2 linked regions of the Arabidopsis thaliana genome follow. The protein of the gene in region 2 interacts with the protein of the main gene of each other region in a biochemical or structural test. Each region holds a gene or a part of one and is shown on either strand. Other genes may lie near its edges. The genes, in order: AT5G61670 and PSY.

The links.
Region 1: the proteins of PSY (region 2) and AT5G61670 form a complex in vitro, tested with the Arabidopsis thaliana proteins (one study listed by BioGRID).

What each region holds. Positions count from the first base shown.
Region 1 is NC_003076.8:24,781,456-24,786,782, forward strand, and holds AT5G61670 (orange protein), read left to right. Parts: upstream 1-1,973; 5' UTR 1,974-2,173; coding exon 2,174-2,358; intron 2,359-2,453; coding exon 2,454-2,568; intron 2,569-2,643; coding exon 2,644-2,760; intron 2,761-2,843; coding exon 2,844-2,930; intron 2,931-3,016; coding exon 3,017-3,093; intron 3,094-3,218; coding exon 3,219-3,346; intron 3,347-3,451; coding exon 3,452-3,588; intron 3,589-3,668; coding exon 3,669-3,746; 3' UTR 3,747-4,810; downstream 4,811-5,327. Other genes in the region: AT5G61680 (Pectin lyase-like superfamily protein), read right to left, coding at 4,961-5,120, 5,211-5,327. UniProt on the Arabidopsis thaliana protein: Involved in chromoplast differentiation. Associated with a cellular process that triggers the differentiation of pro-plastids or other non-colored plastids into chromoplasts for carotenoid accumulation.
Region 2 is NC_003076.8:5,658,849-5,664,815, forward strand, and holds PSY (PHYTOENE SYNTHASE), read right to left. Parts: upstream 4,018-5,967; 5' UTR 3,608-4,017; exon of another isoform or gene 3,392-3,607; 5' UTR 3,240-3,391; coding exon 2,795-3,239; intron 2,718-2,794; coding exon 2,667-2,717; intron 2,583-2,666; coding exon 2,538-2,582; intron 2,126-2,537; coding exon 1,953-2,125; intron 1,836-1,952; coding exon 1,600-1,835; intron 1,452-1,599; coding exon 1,259-1,451; intron 1,162-1,258; coding exon 991-1,161; 3' UTR 765-990; downstream 1-764. Other genes in the region: GSTF12 (glutathione S-transferase phi 12), read left to right, coding at 26-474. UniProt on the Arabidopsis thaliana protein: Catalyzes the reaction from prephytoene diphosphate to phytoene.

The sequences.
Region 1 (5,327 bases), about 19 Mb from region 2:
ATAAATTTAGAAGAGCAATTCCACCTTAATTGATTTGTTCTAGTAGTTTATTTTTTTACGGATTGTGATGTTTATGTTTGTTTGCAATAAATGAATCGATTATATTGATTCCACAAGATTTACACTGTTTTCTTTGTGTGTTCCTGTAACGATTGAGATCTATAGTGCATACACGAATGTATGTTTTTGGCTCTAGGAAATATCTAAAGGATTTGTTTTTGGAATGATGGAAACTTTTCATATATTTTCAACGGTGAAGCGGTCCACACGCACAACTGCCTACGGTGGAGCAACTACCATATGTTATGTCTAATGTCTCTTTTACGATATGATCGAATATCCATATTACATAACCTATATTCGTTTATTACATACATCTAAAAGACTACCCCCAAAATTTTATCTGAAAGCTCCCAATCCACTATCGTCGAAGTTTTTTTTTAATTTTTTCTTCAAATTACAATTATTATTATTATTATTTTTTAAAGTACAATTATTAGTGTCCCTATTTGTTAGTATTCGTGTTTCTTAGACAACATTCCTCTGTTTAGTTTCAAAAATATCTAGATAATGGATTTACGTATATATGGATCAATTGTGATAGTGGACTTAAACAGGTAGGCACATTCCTCTTCATATCGGAGTATAATTTAAAATTTCGATTTGGTCGAGAGCCCAAGGGTTCTACTAGTAACAACATTCTGTGACGCTTAAGTAGTGCCACGTGCTGGACCCTCACTAGTGACTACTATTTCCACCCACTTCCTCTATTATTACACACTTAGCACAAAAATGCATCATTTGATTTTTATATAAAAGCATCATCACATGCATATGTGCTTTGACTATGTATCTCTACGCGTTTCTAACATTATATTGGTAACAAACTACAGATACGTCATATAATTATATCTCTTATGACTATTGTATTCTTAGGAATTAATGCGTGACAGAGATATTTAACAAAATTTGTTCAAGAACACGCTCCATCAAAAAAAAAAAACGCTCCATCGGCTAGATCCTAATTTGGAATGGAGGGAACAGATACTTTGTTCAAACAAAAGGTTTCTTTGTTTGGTAACAGGAAGAGATCACTCAAGCCAATTAACGTCAAATCAAAGATCGGAAGAGGGAGTTGCGGATCCTCCTCATTGTAATCTCCAAATTTTAGAATCCAAAAGATTATGAGAAGAAAATCGGAAAAAAATATTCGAAAATATTTGAAGTTTGGAAGAGGAGAAATCGCTCAGTTCAGCGGGATTATCGACACACGCAAGACTTTCCACTAGGAAAAATCCTACATTACGGTCTGTTGAGCTTGAATATTTCCAAGTCATCACCACGATTTCTCTTTCCGAATTAACAAAAAATCATAATAGAAGAAGAAGAACTAGGAAAAGGCGATTGCTAATTAACCCAGGAATTGGATTGATGATGAAGATTAATTGAAATTAATATTTATAGGTTAATTGCCTAGGGTTTCTCCATAACCCTTGTTTGATTAGGGCTTAATTGGGCCGAAATATTTAAGTAGGCCTTACTAGTTAGAAAAATGTTTATAAAACCCACCAAACATTTAGTTTAATTTGATTCGGCCCATTTGTATTTCAAAACTCATGGCCTATGTATTCGTTTTTTAGACGTAAAAAATTCATCAAAACTGTCACATTTTTAAGGCTAATTTGGTAATAGGATCCAGAATTGGATTATTAATCTTAATTGGGAGATTAGTAGGTCGTATTATCCCCTAAACTAAACTCAAAGCCTTGCTAAGTTTGACTATTGTATATAACACACAAATATGAATGTTACAATTTTATTTTCAAAGAACACATAATTTTAAATTAGTGGAAAGTATATCTTATTAGCACTCACAACAACAACAACAACAACAAAAAAATCAATTATTCATCAATTATCCATTTAAAAAAATTCCAAGTCAGCAACAAAAGAATTCTGCCACCACAAGTTTTCTCAAAACAAACCTAAACAACAAGACAAGTGTGAAATTAAAAAATAATAAGCACCAATACGAACTCGCCACGTACATACAGTTGAGCAGAGTTGCTCTCTTTCGGTCTCGATTTCTCAATTCTCACTATACAATACCGACCATTTAAGAGCAGGCAAAACTAATCTGTATGATCGATCTTGTGCTGAAGATATCGAAAAGATGTCATCTTTGGGTAGGATTTTGTCTGTTTCCTACCCACCGGATCCGTACACTTGGCGGTTTTCACAGTATAAGCTGTCTTCTTCACTAGGGCGAAATCGGAGACTCAGATGGCGATTCACGGCGTTGGATCCTGAATCTTCCTCACTCGACTCTGAATCCTCCGCCGATAAATTCGCTTCCGGGTATTCTGAATTTGCTTTAAACTACAGAGCTTGATTGTTTGCGTATTCATTGATAATGAAAGGAAGAATCAATTTTTTTTGTTGGATTGCTCAAGGTTTTGTATAATAGAAGGGCCTGAAACAGTACAGGACTTTGCCAAAATGCAATTACAAGAGATTCAAGATAACATTCGAAGCCGACGAAACAAGATCTTCTTGCACATGGAAGAGGTACTTACTTACTAGTACACAATTGTTTCTTAAAGTAGAAACCTTTCTTATACTGTTCCTTTTTTTTTGTGGTAGGTGCGGAGGCTAAGAATACAACAACGGATTAAAAACACAGAACTTGGTATCATTAACGAAGAACAAGAACATGAATTACCTAATTTCCCATCTTTTATCCCATTCTTACCTCCATTGGTGAGTTTATTACAAGATTTGTGATTCTTTTCACCCTCCCTTGCATGATTGAATTGATTATAAAAATACATTTCGATATTCAGACTGCTGCCAATTTGAAAGTCTATTACGCAACTTGTTTCTCACTCATCGCGGGGATTATCCTATTCGGTGGTCTACTAGCTCCTACTGTAAGTGCTTTTGCTACGCCTTGTTTTTTCAAGATTGGCTTTGTTTGTTCCCTCTAATATAGTTTTCAACGTGTACTCTTTGCCAGCTAGAGCTGAAGTTAGGTATAGGAGGTACATCGTATGCAGATTTCATTCAAAGCCTTCATCTACCTATGCAATTGAGGTTTTAATACTTGTTTCTTTGAGTTTTCTTTCAAACTACTGTCAAGTTTTTTCGCATCTTCATTGCGTTTTTCGTATAATATTTCTTGAAAAGATGCTTAATCTGTGTGTTCATTTGAATAACAGTCAAGTGGACCCGATAGTAGCGTCGTTTTCTGGAGGAGCGGTTGGTGTGATTTCGGCTTTGATGGTAGTAGAAGTTAACAACGTAAAGCAGCAAGAGCACAAGAGATGCAAATACTGTCTAGGAACTGGTATTGTGGCTTACTTTTTCTCCTTTTTCCTTTCAAACATGGTTTTTAAAAAATGAGTCTGGTGGTTCTACAATATGTATTCACATATATTCTTATATAACACAGGGTATCTAGCATGTGCTCGTTGCTCTAGCACAGGTGCTCTTGTTTTAACTGAACCAGTCTCAGCTATTGCTGGTGGGAATCATTCTCTATCACCGCCCAAAACCGAAAGATGTTCAAACTGTTCAGGTGCCGGAAAGGTAAAACACACAAAAACCAAAACATATAAAACACAAAACCTAAAGGTGTGGATACTAAGTTGTATGTGTTTGATGCTCAGGTGATGTGCCCGACATGTCTGTGCACAGGAATGGCTATGGCCAGTGAGCATGATCCTCGTATCGACCCTTTCGATTGAATTTTGCAACACATTCTACTTCCTTAGAATCTCATTCTGTCAGTGTAACTAAAAATGGTATGTACTGATTAAATAATTAGAACCGCATACTTTGATCTGTATATACACACAATTAAAGTTATAATACAATGTTAGACATGTCTTCTCTAAACAACCAACAACTCGAAACCGGCATGTTGTGTACGTCTTGTGAGTTGTGACAGAAAAACGGCATGTAATGTTTGATTTCTCCACTAAGCAAAAAAGCTTTTTTCATGTTAACATATTGTTTTCCTTCATGTTACATTATGTTTTTGTTTCTGAGCTCTAAAACGTTTTCAGTTCCAATGAGAAGAAAAAAGGATGGAATAAGGTGTGTGTGTGTGGCTCAAGGTTCCCAGCCACTCAAGAGAGTGGCGCGAGTGGCTCATTTAACACCATGAGTGAAAGCTCCCATACGGAGGGTGCAGGAATGAGAATGGTGAAACTTGATGTTGTGAAAGGCACGAGCCATGTACTTACTGAAGCTGCGTTTTGCGTATATGTTTGGAAGAATCACCAGTACTTTCTTCACCAGAATCTGCACGTAGACCCTAGAACAAGGGAACTTTAGAAACCAAACTCTTTGGGTAACATAGCTTCAGTGGCGCAAACGAAGGATCAATTCATGCAGAATTAGTGTATGTCAAGAACTCTGTTTCTTCAGACCAATGAATGAGCTTACATGCTCTGTTTCTTGAGAGCTAGGGAATATAAGAAACCTTAAGATTCATAAACTTCAATCTCTTCAACATTATACCACGGCGACATCCCTGAGTTCGTATCTCAACTTACTGATCACGAAATCACCAAGCTTTAGCACAAGATTGATGAATGAATTGGGAAACAGAGCATTTTTGACACTTTTAAAAAACAAAAAAAAGTTTGCTATTTCAGATTTTAATGTGAGAATTGGAGCATTTTTTGAAAATTTGGTATAAGCCTTTTTAAATATTTTCCTTCTTTTTTCTTGAAGATCAAAGCTAAGTAGAGATTTGCTAACACATTTGTAAACCAGGTACTCTTATTTCTTGTAAAAGCAAAACACTAAACAAGCCTCAGCTTCTCCAATAATTACAATATCAGAAAAACAAAAAAAATGTAATAGTACAACAAGTTACATGTTTTTGTGTTTTTTTTTCTTCTTCCAAATATAGTAATTTAAAACGGAGTGGTTGATTAATTTGGTAGTTACATTAGAAAGAAGGAGGAGGCAGGAGCCAGCTAGATCCTTGGATGTAGCCAAGCGAGATGAAGTACTTAGCTTCTATGTCATCAATGTCTTGTGTATACTTTACTCTCTTCTCCTTGTGCGATCCTGTTCCTGTGCACTTATATTCTCCATAGAACACCGTCCTGCTCATCAATCAGTGCATTTTACATTAAAACTTATGTCACATAGTTTTTGATTGATATACTATGGTTTGGACTTTGGACTATACATACTTGTCACGTCCGGCCTCGCGGTTTTCTTGCCATCCAGATGGGTTCACAACACTTGACATATCCGTGTATGCATAAACAACCTTGGGGTGGCTCATCCATGATCGACCCAAGTAGATC
Region 2 (5,967 bases):
GAAATTTGGCTCTTTATCTTCTAAGAATCACGAGCCATCGCGAGATACTACGCTACCAAGTTCGCGGACCAAGGCACGAACCTTTTGGGCAAGTCTCTAGAGCACCGAGCCATCGTGGACCAGTGGGCTGACGTGGAGACCTATTACTTCAACGTTCTGGCCCAACCCCTCGTGATTAACCTAATCATCAAGCCTAGGTTAGGCGAGAAATGTGACGTCGTTTTGGTCGAGGATCTCAAAGTGAAGCTAGGAGTGGTCTTGGACATATACAATAACCGGCTTTCTTCGAACCGGTTTTTGGCTGGTGAAGAATTCACTATGGCTGATTTGACGCACATGCCGGCGATGGGGTACTTGATGAGTATAACCGATATAAACCAGATGGTTAAGGCTCGGGGTAGTTTTAACCGGTGGTGGGAAGAGATTTCGGATAGACCGTCTTGGAAGAAGCTTATGGTGCTGGCTGGTCACTGAATTAGCTCCAATTTATGATGATCTGAAGAACCAAATAAGCTTTATAGTTTCTGTTTTATGTTTGTGTTGTTTTGTACGTTTCAGTAATAAATTCAATATACTTTTAAGATTCATGTCAATGCTAAGACCATAGTTCTCTATTCTTAAGTTTTTACTCTATTTTTGAGTGAGATATAAAATGGGGTTAAAATAGAAGTGGAGTTTTTACATAGTATACAAGGTTACTCACTTGTACTATTATTCGAATATAAGAAGAACTTCTTTCTGTATGTATATCACAAGATTATTTCATCAACCAAAAATTGTATATCCCCTCATTAGGCCAAGAGAACTATAACTAAAATAAAATTAAAAAAAAAAATACTTTTTTACATTCAGAAAGATAATGTAACATTATAAGAATTTGCTTCCCCATTAATATGTATATATTAGTTAACATAATAAATTCGAGCCTAAGTTTTTTCTTAATCACAAAAAGCGCTCTTAGGTTGTTTTTGTTCCACTTTCCTCTCGCTCTCATATCGATAGTCTTGAACTTGAAGTCTTTAGTACTGATTTAGCATAAGCCAATGGCAAAGCTGCAATTTTCTTGACTTTCCCCACATAAGCTCTCTTAGTAAAATTGTTGTAATCATTCGCTTCAATCTCGTCCAGTATTCTCCTGTACAATAGCAATGAAGCCCATACCTGAAACATTGCAGCCAAGTCCTCGGGGTTAAAATCGATCCAAAAGAAATAAGTAAACGGTAAACTTGCGGCTGAAGAGTGTTTTAGAGACACTTACAGGCCATCTGCTAGCGGCACTGAGCTCGGTGACGCCTTTCTCAGCTTCGTCGAAGAACATTCTTGCTCGTTTAAGCTGCATTTTCATGAAGTTTCTCCATTTATCAGTTACTTTTCCGGCGAATATGTCTTCATCTGAAAGACCAGCCTGAGCCAATTCATCCTGAGGCAGATAAACCCTTCCTCTTCTCGCACTGATAGTGAGAACAAAACCAATTTAAGAGAGATATGTGAATCAAGAAACCGGTTTAAAAGAAGCATGTGAAATCAAGAAACCGGTTTAAGTGAGATATGTGAAATCAAGAAACCAAAGCTCTATTTAAAATATATAAAAAGACTCACTCTTCGCCTACGTCTCTGAGTATGTTAGTAAGCTGATTGGCTATACCAAGGGCCAAGGCAGCGTTGTAAACACTTTCGGTTGTTGCTTTCGACTTAGGATCGATTCCCATAACCGGAACGCTCATCAATCCGACGGTTCCAGCGACGTAGTAGCAGTAAAGGTATAGATCATCGAAGTTCTGGTATCTCGATTTCTTCAAGTCCATTCTCATTCCTTCGATCATGTCTCGAAATGGCTGCAACATAAATAAACATTAGACCAAAGTTTTATAAGGTTTATTGCAATGGACTGAATGCAACTCTTAACTCATGTAATGAAATGAGGAAGTAAGATAAGACAGAGCAAGGCTGACCTGAATATCGACCGGGTATCTAGCAACTGTATCAGCGAGAGCAGCATCAAGCATATCGAAAGGACGACCACGGAAAAGATCTTCTAACCTTGCTTCCCATCTATCTAAAGCCATGGGAGTTATATGTGAAGCATTTGGCCCATCCACAAGTTCATCAGTTCTTCTACACCAAACTGCACAAAAGACAGAGTAAAACTATCAAATTCAAACCAATCAAACATATAAGAAAACAACTTTAAAATTCCCCATATGCTTTGGATACTAGTATGTCCTAGACAGGGGGTCATTAGAGTAAAATCTCCAGAGTTTAAGACCATTGGGCCAAAAAAGCCCATTAAAAACCCATATTAGTAACTTTTTTTTTTTTGGACAAACCCATATTAGTAACTAAGCTAGTCTTTTTGGGTCTTTATTCTTTATCTTCAAAGGGTGCAAATTTGGATGCTTGGTGTTCATGGACTTATCTTAGACACAAGGTAACCACACAAACTAACTAGAGACCTATCTTTCTACATGAGTGTAAGATTCAAGGAATCTATTTCAGCTTCAACTTCTCTTGTTAAGACAACTTAACTAGATACTAACCAAGAGCCACAATAGATTGTTTGTAGAAATCTACTTTGAGCATCACTTTATCCTACAATTATAATCAATGTTGACAATGCAAATATTCTAAAACAGCTCTTCAACCATTGGTTTTGTGCAGTAACTTACCGTAGATTGCCCAAATCGCCTTTCGCCTTTCGGGTGTCATAAGCAAAGTTCCTGCAACACAAACATTAGAACTCAGAACACCACTCTACATTACACCAAAGCCAAAGAAGAGTTAAAAAGATCCATACCAAGATAAAACGTCTTAGCATATTCAGCGCAAACTTCACCGCATCGATCATAAGCTTCACCCAACAAACTCAAACTCCCAGGAAGAACAACATCTTGTGGTTTCTTCACATCAAGGTCATAAGAAGAAGACCTTAGCTGTTTGTTCACCAAAGCAGCTTGTTTCAACACAACATTGTAAACCTTCTCTTCAGATGAAAGAGCTATCTCTCCAGAAGGACTTGCTACTAAGCTTGAAGACACAACACCAATTCTTCTACTTCGGTTCCTTACAAAAGAAGAACTCCAAGTTGGTATCTGCTTCTTCTTACCTTTGTTTAGTCTCTGATTCTGACAAGGAGAGAACAGTCTAGAAGATTCTAGAACCCTTACCAACCCACAATTGTTCATTGGGTCTGGATTTAGAGAAGAAGTAGCAACCCATAACACTGCTACAGAAGAAGACATACTCAAGTTCTTGAGCGCGTGAGAGAAAAATCTCAACTTTTTTAGTTTTCTTCTGTTGACTCTGTTTCTTCTACAGTTAGAAGAATCAAACTCCCAACTTTTTTTCAGTGAAACCCAGAATTGGATCAAACTGGTAAAAGACTAAAGCTTTCCTGCAAATTGAATACAAAAACAAGTAGATTAGGAATCGAGATCTCTAAATCTGTATATAAAGCCAAATTTAAGCGAGATGAGAAACTCAATTTCTTCAAGCAAGTAAAATAGCGAAGAGACACAAACATAAAGAGGAAGATCTTCAAAAGCAAATGAAGAACATGAAAAGAGAAAAAACAAGTAAATCCTCTAATCGTATTGGCTAAATACTCAACTGGGTTCAACTATTTTCCACTCGAAAACAAATTAGATTATGTATCGTTGTGTTACATCAACATTAGGTATAAGAGCCCAAAAGTATCAAAACAGTGAACCACATGGCAGATGAAGCTTAACCAAACGAGCGAAAATGAGTGATGGACACAAAAGCCTACCTTTCTCTCTGTAAGAACAATAGATACTGCGACAAAACTTTGAAGAAGAAGGAGAAGGAGGAGGAGATTGTCAAACACTAAATTAATCAAAAGGAAGAGCAAAAGGTTTGACCCATTAATGTGAGAAGATCCTCAAGAAGTTATATTGCAACGCTTACTGTAATATATGTACACAGACAACACAAGTAGATGATGCTGTCTCTTCCTCTATCGTAAAAAATTCTCACCCACTCAAATTTTCTTCCTTCTTTGTCTTTTTTTTTTTTTTTTGCTGGGTTTTAATGAGAATCTTGCCAGTATAAATACAAAAGTCGTTATTTTTATTTTTTGGGTCTATATAGTTTTTTAATTTAGTTTTTGACTGGCGAGATGCGACTCTCGAGTGACTCGTGTCTTAAATCAAACCTTAATAGTTTTCAAATAAAGGTAACTATCCCAATATTAAAACCCATTACCTATTTAACATGTTTTCTCTTCTTTTTCTTGGCCAAATTTATGTCTTATTATTTAGCTAAATTGATTCCTGATCAATTAGAAAGTTTGGTTAATTACATGTTTGATTTATTCATCAATTGGGCAACAGGTTGTAATTGTAAATTAATAGCTCTAAATTGATATTTGTATTACAATATTTCTTATATAAATGTAATTTAAGCCTTTATTTGATATATATTATTTAAAGCAACATTAGAAAATGATGTGATTTTAGCCTATTATAGTATTCAAAAATACAGAAAGTGTATTTATTTCTAATTTACATTCTTTTTTCTAAACTTTGTAAGTTTTCAATTCAAAAACAGAAACTACATCATCAAATTTAACAGATATATTACAAATAGTGATAAAAATGTGACGAAACATATATGTCGTTTACTAAATCGTATTCAATATAAACATTTATCGGTACTCGGTGAATTAATTTTAAAGAAAAAATGATAAAGTAATAATAATTTCACAAAAATGTGCAATTGTACATGAAGATTGAAGAACTCTATTAGAAACATTAATTTCATGTGAATTTATATTTTAGATATTTAGATTGTAATAAAAAAAAAAATTGTCCCTATTGGTGATGCTATGTTAACAAACTCAGCCTAAACCAAATAAGGATGTAAATACATATATGTTGTGGAAAGAAAAAAAAAAGAGGCATAATCATGGTAAAATACATGTTGTGTTACGAAACGTAACTATATATATACAGTAGCTTTGGATCATTGCTAAAATTCTACGAGGGTTGCGTAGAAAACTTGATCCATCTCACTATTTTATGGATTACCTTTCAAAATGTATAACGTTTTTTGTAATAACGTGGATTTTGCTACGAACATGATGAATCAAGAGTGACGCATTTTGTTGTGGAAGAAAAAGTGAGACATGTCACTATGGAGATGGGATCAATAGTTATTTAATTACATAATTAAAATATAATTAGAATATTATATAAGTCATTAAGTAATTGTTGGTAGAAAGGACAATAGGGGTTTAGGGGTGGGGTCATGCCAGTTTGGGTAAAAAAGGATTAGCAGAAGAGAGATCAGAGAGATGCCACGTGGAGCCTACGGCCAATGGGAGAGCGATAAGCTTATCAAAGATTTCAAAGTGCGGAGGGTAAAGTGGGCGACGTTGCTTTTCCACGTGTCAATGTTTCATTGGTAGGAAAAGTTAAAAGTTAGATTTCCGCTTAGTCGGTATTTGGGTCCCATACTGTCTTCGCAACTTGGCCCTCTCTCTTGCGCTCAGAAGGTTTTGTCTTTTAAGTTTCTTCTTGATTTTGGTTTTATCCTTTGTTATTTTTAGTCTGGTCCGTATTTTCTCCGTATCTTGTTTCAAATACATTCTCTCGTAAAGAAACCGCTTTTTTTGGTTTAGTACTGAATGATAAAAGTATTGTTTTCGTACGAAATTTATGTCAACCGCCCTAGTTCTAGAGGATCACCTAGACCATATGCATGGGACTTGGTCGAGCTTCGATGTGGATTAGCCCGAGTTATCAATAGAATACTGAAAATTGGCATAATTAACTTTGATTTAATGGAAATGCGTTTTTATAATATACTGAAAATTTAACAGACATGATGATTGATGAGTAGTAAATTTCAAATGGTATAACAAGTTTAATTGTTTTTTTAGTAAGTTATATATACTGACCAAGACGTTTTTGTTTGAGTCAGTGACTATCACTCTTTGTTTTTACTCAA